Arabidopsis thaliana: one gene and its partners. The main gene of each other region encodes a partner of the protein of the gene in region 4 in a complex. Each region holds a gene or a part of one and is shown on either strand. Other genes may lie near its edges.

Region 1 (3,879 bases), on a different chromosome or scaffold from region 4:
AAGAAGGGAAAAATATTTGTGTAGAGAGAAAAGAGAGAGGAGGAGAAGAGAAGAAACGGAGGCGCTCTGCGTTAAACAGTGAGGAGGATGAAGAAGAAGAAGAAGAAGAAGGAAGGCGGAAGGGAAGGAGAAAGATAGTGGGTGCGTTATTGTGTCAAAACTTCTTTTATTCTTTTTATTTTTCCAATCCAGTCCTTTTATTTTCTGTAGACTTTCAATTCGCAACCCACTTTGTTTTCTTCTCTTCACGTAATAGTTCGTTTCGAGATCGGCCCATTATCAGGCCCACTAGATCCTCTTTCGCCGGAACTTGTGTGATTCAAAACGTCTCCGTACCAATTTTGACAGTAGACCGAATTCTGATCGCGACGGTTTTCAATCACGCCGAAGAAATACACAATTTGAATTTGAACTTATAAACCCAGTTCTTGTAATGTTCGACCAAAAACGAATCAATACTAAAACCAATTTTTAGGTATAGCCAAATTTAACCAAATAAACCGGATTACAAATGATTTTATTTGATTTCGAATTCTATAAAACCGGAAATGAAACCGAATCCAACCTAGTAAACCGGATTGCCACTTTTAGGCCATGTGGTCTGTAGTCAAAGATTGATCTTGTATTGAAAATGAAAACTGGAAACGTAAACCAAATAAAAACCAAACCGTAAGACTGATAGCCATTTCAGGGTCTGTATCCAAAGATTGATTTACTACAAAAGTTGTCACACAAAGTTAAGAACATCAAAGAACAATATGATCCACCAGGGAAGCCAAAGAAGTTCTCCTTTATGATGAGATTGATAGGCAAATCTCGCCAGCTTAAACCTGCCGTAGACCCTTATCCTTGAGCAGCATTGGTAAATTCCCCAGTCTTAGGCTGATATAAGTTCTCTTTTGGCTCTTGTTGACTAGCGGAAAAGGCGTGGAACTGATCTTTTAGGCACTTTTCCTTCGAGCTTTAGTCTCCGATAAGACTCCCTGATATGACAAGGTCTGATAGGTCCTGATTCTTTCCTTTCCGCCATAACAACTCGAGCTACAGATAATGTATTGAGGTTCAGTAAATGAGCTTTGTTGGCACATAAACAAAATCATTGGAAATTTTTGCACTGGCTTACCTGTTTCAACGAGTTCACCAACGAACATCTTTGCAATACCACACGCAACAATAATCATTGGCATACCAATCTTCTGACTACCAGTGACACCTATCAATAACTGCATTAACATAAAAGCTAAATGGTTCATATTTGCAATGAAACAAAATTAAGAATGTTGATAACCACAAATCATATAACATATATACCTTCTTCATCTGTGGTCTTTGAAGTGCAGATCTCCTAAAAGATTCATATCTACTCATCTGATCCTCAGTGAATTGCGATAATATGGTTCTGAAGAATTCAACAAACAATCAATCATCAAAGAAACATGAAGAACAATCAAAATTCTACAAAGACTCACTGCATTTTGGCCATTTTAGCAGGATCAGAACTAGTTGGATATTTAGTAAGCTCAACATCCATATTCTCTTCCTCTTCTTCATCATCTTCATCTTTATCTTTGTTCTTAGCTTCAGTAACAACAACAGAGGTTTTAGCTTTCTTCATCGGACGGCGAACATCCACAGGTCTCTCATCTTCATCTTGAGTCTGGTCGATTTCAATTCGTCCGTCTTCACTACCATCACCTCCTCCTCCTCCGCCAACGGGTGATTCCGGTGGCGATTCCTCTTGCTCTTCCTCAATCGCTGCTTCAAACGGATCCTTTGAATGCTTCATTCCTGATTAAAACCTAAACGAAAAAATCACATAATTGAGATCTCAAATTAGGGTTTAGAACGAAGCAAATTGCTACGGATCATTGACGAACCTTGAAGGTGAAACTCAGATCGAATTTCAAGAGACACGAATCTCTAGACCGTTGTTAACAACAACTGGGAGCTCCACAATCTTCCAGGCGGAGAGGAAAATTCATCGACTGTGTTCAATTTCAAGCTTTTCTATAGGAGTGTAGCGACTGTTATAAGTCGGTTTAGTCCAATCAATTGGTGGATCAAAAGAAAAGATCTGAACCGGTTTTTGTTAAACCAACCCAAAAAGTTTCGAGAACCACATCATTGGATTTGGGCTGGGCTCAGTTCAAAACCACTGAATAACTAACTGGTTTTTTTTTTTGGAATACAATGTTGGGATAACGATTTACAACTAGCCAAATGTTATAAATCGAGCTAGACAACAAAATTAAAAATATCAATGATAGTGAATTGGATACTAAAAAGTAAAAACACTCAAATGCTAACTATTTCTATAGATATTGGATAATCATATGTTAAATCAAATGCTTGAGTGATTTCAACATTTTTCTTTGGTCATCATGATTTTTATAATTCCAAATGAATCAAAGAACAGTTATCTATTTTTTCAAATCTTTCACATAATTCATAATTTTCTAGCAAATGTTATTTAGTTTTGCTTGATACTTTATGATAGGAAGATATAATGCTAACCCTTTTTTTCCTCCTCAATTTCAATATAAACTCATATCACCACCAAACCATCATTACAAATTCTAAAAACAAAACTCTATGAAACACATAAAACAGAAAAATATATATTTAGTCTCTTATATATATAACATCACTGCATTTAGAAAGTATTAGGCTGTTTAGCCTGAGAGATCATCTGGACAACCTCTCTCATGGTCGGTCTCTCAACACTATGTTCTTGCACACATAGCATTGCCACAAAGAACAGTTCCATGGCCTCTGCTAATGGAATATTGCTCAATCTCTGGTCAATGATCTTCACCACACCTTGTCTGTTACAGTTTGTTTGGATCTTTGACCATTGCACAATGTCTATCCCTTCTTCCCCAAAATTATCTACTGGTTTTCGACCCGTAATCAGCTCCAATAACACTACTCCGAAGCTGTACACATCGCTCTTCTCGTCTATTCTCAGTGTATATGCATATTCTGCATTCAAGAAACGGATAAAATGGGCTAAGATCAATCATACGTTTTAACTAGAAGTACTGAAATCCTAAGTTTGAATGTTACGTGTGATACAAGAAAGTAGTATTAGGAATCAGTCATGTACCTGGAGCGATGTAGCCGTACGAGCCAGCGATCGAGGACATGCACTCGGAAGCTCCATTGTCTTGCATCATAAACTTAGCAAGCCCAAAATCAGCAACATGAGCTTCAAACTCAGGACCCAACAAGATGTTGTTTGACTTCACATCACGGTGGATTATAAGTGGCGAGCAATCATGGTGAAGATAACACAACCCCTTAGCCGCTTCCAACGCTATTTGCAACCGTGTTTCCCATTTCAAAAACACTCCAGCTTTCCCGTGCAAGACTTCTCCGAGGCTACCATTAGGCATATACTCGTAAACAAGGAGATTCACGTCTTTGTTTGAACAAAAAGCGAGCAATCTCACTATGTTTCTGTGTCTGATTCTACCTAATGTCTGAATCTCTGCGGCTAAACCGTTGTCATGAGATGATCCTTTGGTTATGGTTAAGAGCTTCTTGACTGCAACTTCTTCTCCGTTTGGCATTACCCCTTTGTAGACAATCCCTCGTCCGCCTTTCCCAATCACATGGTTCTCTTTAACACATTCTAATATGTGTTCGCTTCTGAAACCGAGCTTCTGAAACCCTATAAGCTTCCATAAATTCGGGTTGTTCTTTCTCATTCTCCTATTCTTGACCACAGCTAAAACGACGAACACCAAGAAAAACCCTAGTAGGCCTAACCCGAAGAACAACTTGAATTTTGCGGAGATTTCACCTCGGGATCTTGCGTTGTTCTGGTTAAGTAGCTGAGATTGAGATTGGTTTTGGGAACCGTTGCAAGGGTTTGAA
Region 2 (5,947 bases), about 18 Mb from region 4:
TTCAACTTAAATAGTAAAAAATTGATTGAATGTTTATTCAACTCTTTTAATTTCTTCAATTACGTCAACCATTTGCACTGGTTTGTCAATTACAGCAATAAGATTTTTCTCTGAAAACTCATTACAAGAAAACTTGTTCTATTCTTTAGTGAGTTTTTAATCTACTAATTATATATATGAAAGTTAGCCAACTCTCTCCATATGATTGACACATCATCACTTTAACATTTGCCATGTATCCACTGAATAATTAATGTAAGCTCTTCAACTTTTAATTTATAGATTAATGATGTATTTATTATTTAATTTTACATATTTAATTGTACTAATACTAAATTTATTTTGTTATTAAATGTTTTTCAATAAAATAATTTGATTGATTTTCTCATACTCAAAAGATTTTTTTCTGTAATCTTAACTCAAATTATGAGTGTATAGTAGTCATGGATTAATTAATAGTTTGAATAGTTTGCATATTGTTATATATCTATATAATAAATCGCCGAGGGTGAAGAGTATGTAAGAAGTTTAATCATCAAATTCTTAGGTTTCGAGAATCCCAATATTACCTTCTATTTAATTAGTTTAAGACGAACATTGTTTAGGAATTGTGTGTATAATGCATTGTTGAGAATGTTGTTAGAAAAAATATATTTTAATATTAAGAATAATTACTTATTATATAAGTAAATGATTAGATAATTAAAAATTATATTTAAATTAAACGATACAAAAAATTTAAAAATACCGCAGCGTAGCGCGGGTGATTACCTAGTCATAGTAAAATTAGTAGTGACAGATTTTAAAAAATGACAAGCTTATGCTAGTAACTTTACAAAATAGATAGCATTATATAAATATTTTACTGTAGTATGAGTCAATACTTTTTTAATTATTAATTTAGTCAATATATGTTAGATGCAAATGTATTTTTTTTTATTGACCAATACTTTGGTAGTATAATATTAGTAGTATTAGATATTATTGGCTATAAATAGATTCAACATTGAAACACAAATCATATATATGAAAGAAGACTAACTCTCTCCCACAACTTGACACATAAGCACATGAGAGCTTGCCACCTAGACTTCATAAAATAAGTAATACATAATTAGTAATTAATTCAACATAACAACTAAAATAGGAGAATATAATTAATGAGAACTTGAACCATCACTCTTTCTACATTTTTAATTCAATATATCCTCTTTAATTTTGAGATCCACTTAAGTGGCTAAAGTGATGATAAAATCCAAACATGTTACACATATTCCTGGCCTAAAAATTAGACGATTATTATGAAAGAAACTAAATGAATATGCAGATTAAATATATCTAAGCTTTTCGATATTTATGCTAAGAAAACAGGTAATTTGAAAGATATTTGAGGAGCTATCCTTATAACTAATACGTAAGATATAAGATTATGACAAGAACTTAACTAAACTTTCTAAGAATATCGAGTTGAATATGCTTAGATTGAATATGCAAAGACATGATTAATAAAGACATGTTATATTTTTAGTGTAAGAAATAATTTTTCTAAAATTTCACTGTCTCACAATCTATACATATAACTAAAAAAGCAAGGATATATAAATTCAAAAAAAAACTAAGAATCTAAAACAACAATAAAAAACAACTCAAGCACATTCGTTTTTCAGATGAACTAATATAGTTGGACTTTTCAAAAACAATTACAAAACATATTTATGTTTCAAAACCTATGCATTCAACTTTACTTTATATAAACAGACATTATATAAAACAATTAGTAAATAGTAATACGTAAACCCGCACGTAGTGCGGGTACTCATCTAATTTGTAAATTAATAATTCCTCAATTTGCACCCAAAAAAAGAATTCCTTAACCACGAAAAAAATAAAAAAACAAAATTACAATTTAAGGGGGAAAGTTATATGAAATTGCAAATATAACCACCAAACAAACAATCGACTATCGAGGTTACCCTTAAGAAAATCTTTATTCGCAAGATCTCTCTCTCTCTCTCTCACTCGACGCACTTTAGAAAGAAACCCTAGTCCGACGACCTCTCCTTCGCCGCTGAATCCTCATCGCTGGTCAGATTTCTATCTATCTCGCTCTTCTATGTTTCCCTATCTCGTTGGTCAGATTTCGAATCTTCTTTTTGTTCTCATGGTTTTTGAGCTCAAAACTTTGGGGTTTCAATGTCTCGATGTTATTTCTTAGCGAGGTTTCAATGTTGGCTAAGTGAAGTTTTGGTATTGTCATTTACAGATTCTTGGCGGCTTTCTTTTTGATGAAATTGGATTACGATGGCTGGATATCCTACTAATGGATCAGTCTACGTTTCAAATCTCCCCTTAGGAACTGACGAGAATATGTTGGCTGACTATTTTGGGACCATTGGGTTGCTTAAGGTATGGTATTGGCCAGGTACTAATTGTTGCTTTTGTTTTGACGTCATTGCAATCTTTTATAGGTCACTAGATTTTCGAGTTTCTTACATTTTTTTCTACATTGCTTTTAGAGAGACAAACGAACTGGTACTCCTAAGGTATGGCTGTACCGGGATAAAGAAACTGATGAGCCCAAGGGAGATGCTACTGTTACCTATGAGGATCCGCATGCTGCTTTGGCTGCTGTTGAATGGTTCAATAACAAAGATTTTCATGGAAACACCATTGGAGTTTTTATGGCCGAGTCGAAGAATAAAAATGCTGGTGATGCAGTTGAGTTTGTTGAATTCGATGGAGGTGCTGAGGAAACAAATGGAGGTGCTGGAAGGGGGAGGGGTCAGGCTGATTCTTCGGCAAAGCCATGGCAGCAAGATGGTGACTGGATGTGCCCTAATACAAGGTCTGTGATGTGATATCGGTGAGGAGCTTCATCTAGCTCTTGTTTCCGTTAATTTGCTAGTTTTTATATATTTTATAGTTTCTAGCAGTAGTGTTCTCATACTCTTTCATTGGCAGTTGTACAAATGTGAATTTTGCATTCCGTGGGGTTTGTAACCGCTGTGGAACTGCTAGACCAGCTGGTGCATCTGGTGGCAGCATGGGTGCTGGTCGTGGAAGGGGTCGAGGTGGAGGCGCTGATGGTGGGGCCCCGGGGAAGCAGCCCAGTGGTGCTCCTACTGGTCTCTTTGGTCCAAATGATTGGGCTTGTCCAATGTAAGCATTCCGATTAGGTTTGAAATAGTTAGTTCAGTTTCAGAGGATAATGAGCGTTTGGTACTTGATTAAAACACATCGCAAGAAACAATTTATATTCAGTAGCAAAAGAGAACATTCAGATGGCATATAGCGTTGCTGGATATAAAATTAATTTGTCTTATGTATGGAAGGAATATAGCTTGTATATCAATGCTTTTGATGATGTCAGTTGACTCTTTACTTAGAAAGAAGTGATGGCCCGCTCTGCTGTGCTGTGTCTCTTAAACTGGTCCAAATTATGTGTGGAGGCACATATTTTTTCCTTCTTTTTTGAATGTTGATTCTAATTTCGTAATTTTCCTTCAGATGGCTGTTAATCTGAAAAATGTAATTTGAAACGTGGGTAGGTTGTAGTCTTGATCCTTCTAAGAAGTTATATTTGTGAAGATAGGCTGCCTTCAATTTTCTGTGTCTGATACAAAAAATGGACTATGTTTTAGTTTAATTGCAAGTTATGCTATGTGTCATCGAGTAGCTTAACTAAGAGGCTGCACTGTGTGAATGTGAGTTCTTATGCATAATGCACTTTTTCTTTTTGCGCTAATTCTTTCAGGTGTGGCAATGTCAACTGGGCGAAACGTCTAAAATGTAATATCTGCAACACCAATAAACCTGGTCAGAATGAAGGTGGTGTGAGGTATGACTCAAAGCCAGTGATAAGATTGCCTTTGTATTGTTATCTTGCAATGTTCGAGCTGAGGATTTGGATTATAAATGATTTTACAGTGAATGTAGGAGAGGTCGTAGATTTTCTGTTCGATGTTTGTAGTTTTGTTGTCAGCAGGGTATATTTATTCTGCTTTTAGACAGGGCCTAATAGATACCTGGGAAAAAGTCTCAATACTCTCTTCTGCAATTTGAACGAGTGCTTGTTTTCTTCGACAATTGATTTATCCCACTTGTAATGTTTTATTTTGGCCAAATTAGAGTTGCATTAAGAAACATTAAGGTTTGAGTTTGGAAGGTTGTTTTTATCTAGACCAGTGCTTATTCATTTTTTTTTCTCTAAATAGGGGAGGCCGTGGTGGTGGTTACAAGGAATTAGATGAACAAGAATTAGAGGAAACGAAGAGACGCAGGCGTGAGGCTGAAGAAGTAAGATATGCTTTTCCTGAAGAGTTCTTTGTTTTTTGTTTTTTTGTTGCAATTCGGATGAGCTCTCAGTTTTTTGTATATTCCATTTGACTTATACGTCTAATATATTTCAGGATGATGGTGAAATGTATGATGAGTTTGGGAATCTAAAGAAGAAGTACCGTGTTAAAACAAACCAAGCTGACACCAGACCTGCTGTTGCTGCTGGTCGTGCTGGGTGGGAAGTCGAGGAACTAGGTAAGTTCTGTTTAATTTTAACTAATATGAACTAAATCTATGCAATCATCAAATAGGTTGAGCTTATGAACAGAACCTTTCCACTATAATAGAGATTTATTTGGCTCGATCTATATCTACTCTCTGTGTATAGTCTTCAAAGAAAGTTTCTGCTTGTCATCTAGACACTTGAGTGAAACTTAACATATATGCGGGGAGGGATTTGTTTGAAATTTTACATTAAGCTTGCAGCTAACTTGCCTATAGCCCAAGCCTAGTGGGGATCTCCAATAAACAGTGTTGTTCCTTGTTAGAGTTTTCTTCTTTTCACTGAATAGATATAGAGGAAGATAGAAAAGAATGTTTATTGCTGCTTCCCCAAAAATAGAAAGGTCATGATCCAATGTAGTTGTTCATAATTTATATGAATGTGGCAGGTATTGATAAAGATGGAAGAGAGAGAAGCAGAGACAGGCAAAGAGACCGTGGTAGAGATCATCACTACGATAAGGATAGACGCAGAAGCAGAAGCCGAGAGAGGGAAAGAGGCAAGGAGCGTGACTATGACTATGACCATGATCGGGACAGAGACAGAGACTACGGTCGCGAACGTGGAAGCAGGTACCGTAACTGAGAGATTACTCATAAGTGTTAGGGTTTAGTTTCTCATCTGTTTTGTCGACTTACTTTTACAACGGTATCATTACAATGTCTTCGCCTTTTGTTTACTTATTGTGTGAAGTGAAACTCATTTTGGTTTGAATCAATGGCTATTGTTTTTCACTTGTTTTGGTCTGATTATGTTCTGAGAATACTCCATGTTTATCGTTTCGAAAATTGGTAATTATGGCAAAACATGGTTAGCGACGTCAATTGCTAATTTAGACGTGTATTAAGTATTATTTTGTCTTTTGTAGTATTATTTTTAGTTGTCCCTTTGTTTTTTTTTCCATCGCCAATCATTTCATCGCTGTATGATTTTAATGGGAATAAAAAAAATAGAACAAGAAGATTTTTGTGGACAATATAGTTTCTGAAACTATAATAGGATAAGAAAAAATTAAGCTTATTTGTGGGGATATATATTAATGTCATATCATTGTCATAAACATGGTCGGCAAAACTTGGGACGGCAGTTTACCAGAATAATCCGGTCGACAGAATTCAACAGTTCCTCTCTCTAAAAGATATGAAGGAGATTAATTTTGGCTTTGTTAGCAAAGATGGCCGGTCCTCTTCTGGCAAATCCGGCTTTTACAAGCGGTTTTGGCCGGCTTTTATCCTTCCTCCGCCGTTCGATCGGTTGTTCTTACCGATTGCTTTAGTTTCTTTTTCAGTTTTTCTTTCAATAATTTCTAAAGATTTCAATTGGAGATTAATTTTAGGTCATAATAGCCTAAGATTAAGTTTTCGGATTTGTATCTTTAGAAAGTTT
Region 3 (6,397 bases), 9.1 Mb from region 4:
CTCCAGTGAGATTGGAAAGAGTATCCGACACGTAACCGGATTTAAGGGTGAACTCACAGCTGGTGGCTACGGCGGTGGAGGCCCGGGATATGGTGGTGGTGGATACGGTCCAGGTGGCGGCGGTGGTGGTGTTGTAATCGGTGGTGGATTTGGTGGAGGTGCCGGGTATGGTTCAGGTGGTGGTTTGGGTTGGGATGGAGGCAACGGAGGTGGTGGTCCAGGATACGGGTCAGGTGGAGGAGGTATTGGTGGTGGAGGAGGTATTGGTGGTGGAGTCATCATTGGCGGTGGTGGTGGAGGATGCGGAGGTTCATGCAGCGGAGGCGGTGGTGGTGGAGGAGGATATGGACACGGCGGAGTCAGCACGAAGGGATCAGGCAAAAACTAGAAAAAACATGCAGCTTGCTTTAGGTAGTGAAAGGAAGAAGAAATAAGGATGTACTTTAGCATCTTGATCATGTTTAGGAGTTTGTAATGGCATTAGTTTTAATGGAATAAGAACCTTTCTACAAAAAAAAATAAAGAATTGGTCCTATGTCTTTTCTTGGTTTCAAACATCCGAGCAGATTCTATTGTATACGCGATACAATAGCGTCGATCTTGACATCTGAGGCTCCTTTTCCACCACAGCGATCACATCCTTCACAGAGATTGACCGGACTACTTTTGGTAAACCTTGGTTCTTCCCAAATTGTGTACCACCTACATAAAGTTCGAATATGCAATTAGGAGCACGAAACACAAGAATAACCAGCAACAGAACTGAGAGATTTACTCTTTCAGATCATAGAAACGGGATTACCAATCTTACCAGAAAGTTTCTTGGAGTTTCTTCCTGGCCCTGGAGAAGATCTCTGACGTGCTTCAGCCATAAGTTTCCATTTTGAAAACCTATCATCTCCTCCAACGGCTGCACGAACAGCAACATTTGCAGCCTTGGCTCTCTCTTTATCTTCGTCCTTCTTATTTGCCTGACTTGTGATCAATAAACCTCTTTCAGTGTACGTATGTGTATATCTCCAAAGGTTTAGGTAGTTGGCTCAAGTTCTAAATACCTTCACTTCGTTTGAACGTTGGTCTTCTTTTTCAGTATCATTTTCTTTGTTCTACATCAATGAATATACAAAAAAAAAAAACTAGACATTACTACTGATAACTAAGACAAATAGATATTAAGCTCAGGACAAACCATTACCTTTTCTTCTCCAGAATGTTTCTTTTCCCATTCCTCTTTCACCTTCTGATTCATTTCATTAATTTCTTTCCGGATATCAGATGTGATAAAAGTCCGATTTCTACACTTCTCTGCATCAGTCCGCTGCAAAAGCTCTTGTAACTTCAGAAAGATTTAGGTACAACAAGATCTAAGGAGGCATGAGAAGAGAAAGTAGACTGACCTGCTTTGATATTCGTATTATATTAAACAGTAGTCCTCGCATCCTCTCCTCCACACACTGAATGCGCAAAGCCATGAGAAAAACGAAAACAAAAACAGGAAATTGAAGGCTAATAATTCCAAGAAAAGGTGTTAACATCTCACCAGAGACAAGCACCGCTCTACATCATGGTCTATATGCTTTAAACCACTTTTTCCCACTGTCATATATGAAAGCATACATAAACTTCTTCTCCAAGTGATTCCAAGTAAGGACCAAAGAAGCAGCTAAGATACGAGTTGAAACACAAACTAATTTCTGTCAGCTTTCTCTGCAGTGGAATTTTCTGCAAAAGCGTTCTTTCTTCCTCTCCATGCACAAGTCTTCGATATGCTTTAGAAACACGATCGTTCTTTTTAGGACCAGAATCTAATAATTGTTTTTCCTCTTCCTAGAACAGATGCAGAAAGTAATTTGGTTTATTGTTTCTCTATATCCAGGTTCAAAATGAGAAGTGTAGCAACTCGTAAACATACCCTGAGATTGATGCCACTGACTGCAGTGACATCATTAAACTTTTCAATACTTTCATCTGAAGAAGTCCCACATATTTTTTGCTTCTTTCTGTATATTAAAAAATACATAAGACTTCAATTTAGCAATTCTAAATTGTTAGTAAGGTAAAAAGGATATTATCAGAAAAGCAAAGAAAAAAGGAAGAGTAATTTATGGACGCTGTAAGTAGTTCATCTTTCACAAACCAGCCAGCTCATTACCTTGATGGTGGCAGCGAAGAACCTAGTGCCTCAAGAGGTTTCTTCTGACCAACAGAAGGCATTTTGGGTGTCACCGTAACATTAGCAATCTTGGGAATGGTCTCAGATGGGGCAGGCATATTAACCTGAAGTGTACACAAATAATTTTCACGTAAGATAGATAGTCCATTTACTCTTCACAACCAAAGTTCGAAGCCAGTACAAGGAGAAATAGAAGCCAGGGTGGTCCAAAATATAAGCAAAACGAAACCAAATGCAACATCGGTTGAAGAGAAATGGTCCCCCTATGAGCTTAAAGAGAAGATCAACCAAATTGAAATCTGTCTTTTGAAAGTATAATTTATAAGTTACCATCGTGCTAGAGTCCAGCTGTGTTGTCATTGAAGGAAAAACAGAGCTGGCAGAAGTGGTTGATGTGAATAAACCCATTTTAGAAGACTGCTTCTCCAAGTCATCATTTGAACTAATTGGAATAGCATTCTTCTGTTTCAGTGGAACATTAGTCACGCCTTGCTGCACCAAATAACGAGGTTTATGTGCCTGTTCAAAACTTTGATCAATCAATTTATGCTCCACATGGATCACTGATGAAGAAGGTCCCACTGTATGGTCCTTGGTGACTGATCCTTGCCAAGGAGCAGAATATAGAGGAAAGGATGAGTTCTTTGGGAAGTCGGATATAGGACCATCCTGAACCCTACTTGGACCATTTACAAAAGTTGGCCTCTCAAACTTGGGTACTGTCGTCATGTTTATTGTAGACTTGGTTGGTCCTCCAACACTGGCTATTCCCACATTCTGATTGTTTTCCCTATGCTGGAAATCAGGGAGCTTTGCTCTCGATGATGAACCAGGAGAAGTGACATTTGTCCCTGGGTATGGATTAAGACTTCCAGATTTGGTATCCATATGAAAAGAACTTGATGGAAGCTGCATGTGTTGCTCGGGATGCTTATTTAATCCCTGCACAGTAGTTGAACTGTTTAAGGTGCCTGAAGTTGTAGAAGACAGTTGGTTAACATGAACTTCACGAGGATCAGATTCTTGAGCAGTGAATTCTGCAGTTAATGATTGTATCTGGGATTAGTTTTGTATGCTACAAGGAAATCATAAGATAAGATCTACCAGAAAGTTAAGATGATCTATGATAATTGCAAAAGTAAATGGCATCAACTAAATAAGTTATACCAGCAGATTTAGACACTTTGTCATGGTTTGAGCGTCCAGGTACTTTGATCCCCATATTTCCCTGGTTACACATACAGTTCATTCTGAAACCAGTAAGCCACAATTCCAAGACAAGAAGTATTCAGCTTATACTATTAAAGTGAGAATTCTTTATGTTATTTCCTTTTTAATAAGGTTCAGAAGTGAGATTTCTTTCTCAGCACATGTTCATATACAGAGAAGGAAGCATATAAAACAAGAAACTCTCTTGGAGGCTGCTAAATGAAAATCATTAAAGTACTTATAAATGCTAAGAAAATGGAAAGGGTAATACCGGTTTTAACTGAGGCAGTTGGCTAATTACCGATCTGATTATCTGATCACCTACAAGATCTCTCAGTTGTCGCATGAACTCTTCCATTGTAAGTTCTTTTCTCTGCAATCAAGTATGAAAAGAAACGTAATGTATTAAGAAACTTCGATCAGAGTGCCAATTCATTCATGGATGTAAACTGTAAAGCCACACCTTGAGTTTATAATGCAGGTTAAGACAATGCGTCTTTTTGCCGGGTTGGTGGTCTACCACGGTACGAAGCAAATCAGTAACTCGTGCTAATCTAAGATTATGATTCACAGGGTCAACAGTCTTTTCCACCCAAGGAGTCTCTTTGCTACTCATCTTCTGCAGTTTCATATACCGAGGTTGCGGTTTTTCTGATTCATTACCAGTAGTATTGTTTATAGACTTCAAGTTACTTCCTTGGGGCACATGAGTTCAAGCACCAAAATCAATTATGAGTATGCTCTAATATTTTTCTATGACTAACCGTCACTAAAGCATCATCAAGAACTAACAATCTAATTGCATCCATCAACATTCAACAGTTAACATCAAGTGAAACATGAAGATACATGACAAACCACAAAAATACGACTCGTGAACCTAAATCACTAAAGAAATCTAAAGGCATTTCCCTGTTTTGATACATTCCACAGTTTCGCATATGAATTTTAGGGTCCAAAACGAACCTTCAATATCTCGAATCAGAGAGTCCTGAAACATTTGCAAGTCATCTTCCGAATGCTTAGAGTCAACCTAACGACACGATTAGCGGGAATCGACATTTAGGAGCTTCGTCCACAGAACAAGATAGCGCGTGGATTTTCGCAGACAGTACGGAAATGAAAATGAGAGTGGGAAATTCGAAACCTAACCTCTTCGTCTTCTTCGAGGAGCTTGACAATGGAGAGATCCATGGAGGAATCTCGCGGTACCAAACGTCAATAGCTCAAAACGAAGAGGGAATTTTCAAGGAAACGATTTGTTGTATCCAATAAGATTCCAAATTCCGCAAGTTTTTATATAAAGGGAGATTCTGCGAGAACACCGTGTCGTTTTTTCTTTTTGATAAAACACTGCGCGCCGTTCTGTTGATCTTCTTTTCGGTAGTTGTTTCTTTTGGATAAAACACTGCGCGCCGTTCTGTTCTTCTTTTCGGTAACTGGGCTTGTTCTTGTATATCAAAATTTATTTTTCTTGAATATAATGTTGGAGTTCTTAAACAGTTATTCATATTAGCATCAGACTTTTGCAAAAAAAAATTAATTAACTTTTAGATGAATTTTGATACACGTTTATGACCATTGAGTTTTGGACTTCCCGTAGATAATTCACCAAATTAAAGAAGGGATTATCTACGTTAATTAAACAGTGCTACTAAAGAAAACAAACGACCCGTCAAGAAAGGCTTTTTTCAATTGAAAGTTACGGTATTCTTTTGGTAAAAGAAAAATGAAAGTTGAGTTTTCTTTGGCAGTCTTCCGTAAGATATCACAACTCTTTTTATTTGCTTAGAGCTTTCCAAAATATAAGAAAGAACAATATGTGGATGGTAGTAGAAACTAGAACGTTCTTGATTATGCTTAATTGTGTTATAAATTTTTTGAAAAAAACAGAACCAAAAACAGAGTTGTAGTGGTGTCACTTTATGCTTATTCAGATAAAAAAAAGACTCAACGCGTTTGTAAAATATGTGGTAAAGAATCGGTTTAATAATTTTTAAAATGAAAGAACAAGAAGAATTGGAATCAGTCAAAGTCCAATTTGGTATGTACAGTCAACAAATTCCTACACAACTCTCAACAGTATACAAACGAAATCTTATCGTCTAAGTAAATTTCCTTAAAGTTGAAGTTTGACCGGAAAGTCAAACCGAGGCTTCTTCGCCGGCATAGGGCTCATGACTTCGTCGTCTCCGTTGACCATCGAGAATTCAGGGATCGGAGGGATGTTGAGGTCAAACCCACGGTGGCTACTGCTAACGTGGCTAGTGGACCCCGCACCTTCGGAGTTGGACACGCTACTAGTGTTGATGTTGTTGTTTCCTTCGTAGTGGCACCGCTTGTGTCCGCCGAGAGCTTGACCGGAAGGAAAAGACTTGTTACAGATGGTGCAAACGTGTGATTTCCCACTTCCAGTAGTCACGGCGGATGTGGTTGTCGCCGACGAGGTTGAATGATCATCTCCTCCGCCGGAGAGAGTCTGTGATAAGTTCTTACGGTGGCTTGCCTTGTGACCACCGAGAGCTTGGTAAGAAGAGAACGTCTTGTCGCAGACGCTACACTTGTAGCTCAACTTCTCCACCGCCGGAGGAGGAGGAGGCTGACGGTTGTCGCGAGCGAGAAGCATGAGGCAAAAAGCTAGATACTCTTCCTCAGTGAGGTTTTGGTGGTGGAAATCGGATCTTGATCTCTTAGATCGCTTACCCTTTGTCCAGTGCTCGACTCCATGGAAGACTGAAGAATCTTCGAACAAAGGAGGAATCGGAGAAGCTAATCTTGGTGATGTAAGAGCCTCGAGCGCCATTAAGTTAAAGATTCTGAGGATTTCTTGTCTCTCGAGTTTTAGTTTGAAGGTTGCTTGTGAATTGCAGTGAAGAAATTGTTTAATTGCTGAAGAAGAAGTAATGAAAGTGTGTGTAAATATATAGTAGTAGGTGGAGTGTGGAGAAGGAAGTTGCGTGACAAGTGGTAGGAAAGTGTGAAGAGTGAAGGTGGCGATTAGATAATTACTATATT
Region 4 (4,131 bases):
TCTCCTCCTTCCACATCACTATAACATTCATCTTCTTCCTCATCAATATCATCATCATATAAGGACATGGCTGATCCATATCCCGAGATTCCTGATGATGATGAAGATGAAGCCGCCGTGAAAACCTCCATAGTCTCTGATAAACGACCCTCGGAATCATCATCATCTTCATTATCATTATCACCATCGTCTCCTCCCATTTCTGTCGCTGGCAGAGGAGGAGGAGCCGGAGGGAGAACAATTGTGTTAGTAAAAGTTGACGATGGCATTATCGTAATTTCGAAACGGAGTTTACGTACGGACTTAACGACTCGCCGCCAGAACCTGGTGTTGAAGGGTTTTCTCCCCGGCGGCGACGAAGCATGAACATGACGACGGAGAACATGTGCATCCCACGTGATGACTTTTTCTTCTTCATGCTCGTGTTGTTTATTTGCTCTATCTCTAATTGATCACAATGATTTTCTTTAGTTGGTAATTGATCACCATTCTTATTTATTGTTTCCATGGTAAAATAATGAATCAAAATATCAGAAAGATGACGAAAAATTTAGAGAAAAACAAAAGTCTTATAATGATGACTAATTTTATAATTATTGCGGTAATTAATTTAATGAAAGAAACAAAAATCGGGTGGTTATTCTAAATTTTTAGGGTTTCGAAATTCCTGACTCAAGAAAAATTAAAGGTCGTCCGTAGATATATACGGGATGCTAGATAATGGGCTTTCTTCTAATGGGCCTACATTTAATATGAGTCGGCCTTGTGCAAGATTTTTTTTCACCTTTTTTAAGTCAACACACTTTTTTTTTGCTACTGTGCTTCGAATTCTGATTACAACCTAAAACGCTGTCCCTAGTCCGGCATCCATGAGGTTCCTCTTACCTAGCATTTGTTCCTCCCGTTGAGGAAAAGCAAGATCAATCAACGAGTTCCTTTTCGTCGACATCAAAAGCTTTGCGTGCTTGTTTCAGCTCTTCCTGCATCGCCAACAGTTCTCTACAGCGGTTCAGTTTTGGCAAATCCTGCATAAATCAAAGACGCCAAAGTTTCGGATATAGAATACAAAACCATAAACCATCTCAATCATCGATTGTGTACTTTTTAAAAAGAATTTTTACCTTGCGGATAAGATACAAGAAATCATCAACTAGAAGTCTTCCTCGCTTTGAACCAATTTCTTGAGCTTTATGTGTCTGCCATTGAAACATCACTTGTTAGCTAATATCTCTCCGCTTGTAATGTAAAACATGAATCATTCACAAAAAGAAAAAGCTCACTACCAAATCTGTGACGTATTCCACAACAATGTCTTCTACAAGCGCCACAGACTCTGGAAGAGGCTAAATACAGAGGAGTTTTGGATCAGTTTCAGGTGGTAAAACACTAAAAGATGTTACACGACCAAGAACCCTTTAAAGCAAAGATTCTCTACCTAATTCGTTACTTGTATTGGAATGAAACTATATCTACAAATACGGTTCATATGGCAACAAAATAGTAATGAAGAGGATAGCGGCTTACGTTTTGCTCGTCGCCAAATCCATACATCATATGCTGCACTGAAAAATCAACAAAAGCACCAAAACCATTGTTACCAGAAGAATCACAAAATGAAGAATACAAAAATCTGGTTTTAACTAAAGACTTTACATTCTTTTTGAAAGAGAGTTTTGCGCTTTTCCTGTGGCTGAGAAGTTCCCGCAGCTTTCGATTTAGACGATGATGACGCCGCCGCTGCTGGTGTGTTACTCATCTCTTCTTCTTCTTCTGATAATCAAAATCCAGGAGAGCAAAATAATAGAAAAATAAGTGAAATTCCTCTACCGACAAAATCCAATTGAGTCAAATACTAACCCTAGGTGAAAATTTTCAAAAAAGAAAAAACAGTGTAATCTCAACTAGAAAATGAAATTCCGAGCCTATATTCTAGATTTCTACCGCAATCAAAACCAGAGAGCTACCGGAAAGTTGTATTCCGGTACAGTACAACAACCAACGGAGTTAAATCGAATAAGGTTCTTTATCCAAATATTTGTCGTCATGGAAAAGGAATGAAAATTGAAAAGGGAATAGTGAGAGCAGAGAGCTCACCGTAGATTGATCGACGGGAGTAGCAGAGGTGGTCGTTGCAAAATCGGCGATGAAGATGATGAGAACGAAGAAACGGGGACTTGTTCACTGATCTCTCTCTCTCTCGTAGAAGAAGCACATTGCATTACATACGAAGTAATTGGGCTTAATAAATAGGCCCATTTATATTAAACCAGCCCATAATCTAAACCAGAAACCCGTACACTAGTCGACCGACATTGTAACTAAGTTCTCACGGTATGGCTCAAACCGGCCATGGCCTCATGCTCAATATTCTTCGGGAGAAGGAAAAGTTTGTGATCCGATTCATATACAATCTATCCGGTGCTCATCATATTACACAAGTATGTATCAAATCTTTTAGCTTGAGCCTAATTTTGTCCTGTCAAGACTCTTTTTTCTATCTATACAAATTTTCTATCATGTTCTTCATCTACAAGATTTGGTTATGCGAACAGGGACTTGATATCGTCTTCTCCCAGCTTTTGTACAACGGCCTCTTCAGAGTCACCTAACGTACTGTAACAAAGCAAATATGTCTTCATATAGGCTTCATACAGTTGACAATAAGAAACCAGCAAAGTTGAGAGAAGCGTATCGTTTAAAATAAGAAACCTTTCAAACAAATCTTCCTTCTTCTTTTGAAGCGTTAGTATCTTTTCCTCTACTGTTTTCTCCATTATGAATCTTACAACCCTGTCACACAACCAAATGTTTCTTCTTTCTTCCCCCACCAAAACAACATACAGTATATTGAAGGACAACTCAAAAATATAACCTGACAGGCTTGCACTGTCCGATCCTATGTATTCTGTCCTGTGCTTGCCTCTCAACCGCTGGGTTCCACCACGGGTCCATCATGAACACCTATACAATCAAACACCCGAATGTCAGTGAATAAAACATGTTCTAGGAGCAACTGTTTTATAAGTTGTACACTTCTTACATGCGAAGCGGCTGTTAGATTTAGAGCAACCCCTCCAGCTTGCAAGCTCATTAATAAAACTCTGCAATCTGGCTCTTCTTTAAAATTTTTGAGTGCAGCATCTTTAGCTGCCTTGGACATGCTTCCCACCAGTTGAACACAGCTAACCCCAGACTGCGTTGTACAAAATGAGTCAATCATTTTTATTCAATGTCTCATTATGATTAAAGAGAATGTTAAAGGAGCACAGATATAGTAGTAGTAGCATTTTGTAGTTGGTTGCGCTTGAAATTACCTTCCCCAAGGCGTAACTTATCAGGTCCAAGAATGATGTGAACTGGCTGAATACTATTGCTTTGGCAGACCAATCTCTTTCAACCATGAACCTGATTTCTTCTCTCTGCATACAAATTTTTTTTATCACCAAATGGTTAGATAAAGCCTCCAATCTCCAAAGAAACTTTAAGCGTGGGAGAGACAGAAGCTGTAGATCTCAAAGGGCACATACCAAAGCCTCAATCTTTGTACTTGTTTTAAAATCATCGAGGTTTATCCGATTTAAAATGCTAGAGGCTCTAAATCCTTTAAGCTTTGTCTTGCTTGCCTGATGTTCACTAGAAGTCACCTTCAAAGTAAGAGAACCAAAGACATATTAACCGAACAAGTTAAGTCCAACATTAGTCATCCGATGATTCTTTAAGAAAGTGTAAAATGGTGGCAGCTATTTCCAGAAGATACAGTTACTGAGAAACAAGAGTCGAGATAGTATGAAATAGCAACAATATATCGACTGGAACACTTACAAAGTAGTCCTTGGAAGGGTCATGGCCGAAACCACATTCTTTCTCATTTTTGTTCGCATCAAGCAAGTTAGCGTTAGCGCCACTAGGACTAGAATAACTCACCAGGTATGGATGATCAACAGCCTGAAAAAATTGCAAGAAAATGCATCAGAAATCTATATACCTATATCATCCAAAACATGCACTGGCTTGTAAATAGAACAACAAAACTATCGATACCACTCACTTGTCTCAGTCGGATAAGAAGACCAAATATATGTGCATAGTTATTCATCAATGTCCCAGCCTGAATATACCTGCAGAAACAAA

Evidence for each region.
Region 1: TAF13 (region 4) and TAF11 share a complex: the UniProt entries of both Arabidopsis thaliana proteins name them as parts of the TFIID complex.
Region 2: TAF13 (region 4) and TAF15 share a complex: the UniProt entries of both Arabidopsis thaliana proteins name them as parts of the TFIID complex.
Region 3: TAF13 (region 4) and TAF4B share a complex: the UniProt entries of both Arabidopsis thaliana proteins name them as parts of the TFIID complex.

The regions. Positions count from the first base shown.
Region 1 is NC_003075.7:10,951,699-10,955,577, reverse strand, and holds TAF11 (TBP-associated factor 11), read right to left. Parts: upstream 2,039-3,879; 5' UTR 1,878-2,038; intron 1,800-1,877; 5' UTR 1,787-1,799; coding exon 1,470-1,786; intron 1,400-1,469; coding exon 1,312-1,399; intron 1,224-1,311; coding exon 1,124-1,223; intron 1,042-1,123; coding exon 914-1,041; 3' UTR 502-913; downstream 1-501. Other genes in the region: AT4G20290 (uncharacterized protein), read left to right, coding at 1-419; BAM3 (Leucine-rich receptor-like protein kinase family protein), read right to left, coding at 2,654-2,982, 3,107-3,879. UniProt on the Arabidopsis thaliana protein: TAFs are components of the transcription factor IID (TFIID) complex that is essential for mediating regulation of RNA polymerase transcription.
Region 2 is NC_003070.9:18,628,017-18,633,963, reverse strand, and holds TAF15 (TBP-associated factor 15), read left to right. Parts: upstream 1-1,924; 5' UTR 1,925-2,085; intron 2,086-2,263; 5' UTR 2,264-2,301; coding exon 2,302-2,406; exon of another isoform or gene 2,407-2,422; intron 2,423-2,516; coding exon 2,517-2,845; intron 2,846-2,961; coding exon 2,962-3,159; intron 3,160-3,754; coding exon 3,755-3,838; intron 3,839-4,214; coding exon 4,215-4,296; intron 4,297-4,409; coding exon 4,410-4,533; intron 4,534-4,949; coding exon 4,950-5,146; 3' UTR 5,147-5,409; downstream 5,410-5,947. Other genes in the region: AT1G50290 (uncharacterized protein), read left to right, coding at 5,702-5,947. UniProt on the Arabidopsis thaliana protein: TAFs are components of the transcription factor IID (TFIID) complex that is essential for mediating regulation of RNA polymerase transcription.
Region 3 is NC_003070.9:9,642,801-9,649,197, forward strand, and holds TAF4B (TBP-associated factor 4B), read right to left. Parts: upstream 4,577-6,397; coding exon 4,535-4,576; intron 4,525-4,534; exon of another isoform or gene 4,416-4,524; coding exon 4,349-4,415; exon of another isoform or gene 4,079-4,348; coding exon 3,846-4,078; intron 3,756-3,845; coding exon 3,654-3,755; intron 3,402-3,653; coding exon 3,341-3,401; intron 3,211-3,340; coding exon 2,504-3,210; intron 2,278-2,503; coding exon 2,153-2,277; intron 2,001-2,152; coding exon 1,913-2,000; intron 1,828-1,912; coding exon 1,689-1,827; intron 1,597-1,688; coding exon 1,541-1,596; intron 1,455-1,540; coding exon 1,398-1,454; intron 1,319-1,397; coding exon 1,196-1,318; intron 1,107-1,195; coding exon 1,056-1,106; coding exon of another isoform or gene 1,041-1,055; exon of another isoform or gene 972-1,040; coding exon 812-971; intron 703-811; coding exon 551-702; downstream 1-550. Other genes in the region: AT1G27710 (Glycine-rich protein family), read left to right, coding at 1-388; STZ (salt tolerance zinc finger), read right to left, coding at 5,502-6,185. UniProt on the Arabidopsis thaliana protein: TAFs are components of the transcription factor IID (TFIID) complex that is essential for mediating regulation of RNA polymerase transcription.
Region 4 is NC_003070.9:578,709-582,839, reverse strand, and holds TAF13 (TBP-associated factor 13), read right to left. Parts: upstream 2,216-4,131; 5' UTR 2,095-2,215; intron 1,771-2,094; 5' UTR 1,757-1,770; coding exon 1,654-1,756; intron 1,563-1,653; coding exon 1,525-1,562; intron 1,344-1,524; coding exon 1,284-1,343; intron 1,197-1,283; coding exon 1,122-1,196; intron 1,026-1,121; coding exon 921-1,025; 3' UTR 530-920; downstream 1-529. Other genes in the region: AT1G02670 (P-loop containing nucleoside triphosphate hydrolases superfamily protein), read right to left, coding at 2,541-2,613, 2,710-2,790, 2,873-2,961, 3,041-3,193, 3,315-3,419, 3,528-3,644, 3,823-3,945, 4,049-4,118. UniProt on the Arabidopsis thaliana protein: TAFs are components of the transcription factor IID (TFIID) complex that is essential for mediating regulation of RNA polymerase transcription. May be involved in polycomb repressive complex 2 (PRC2) mediated repression.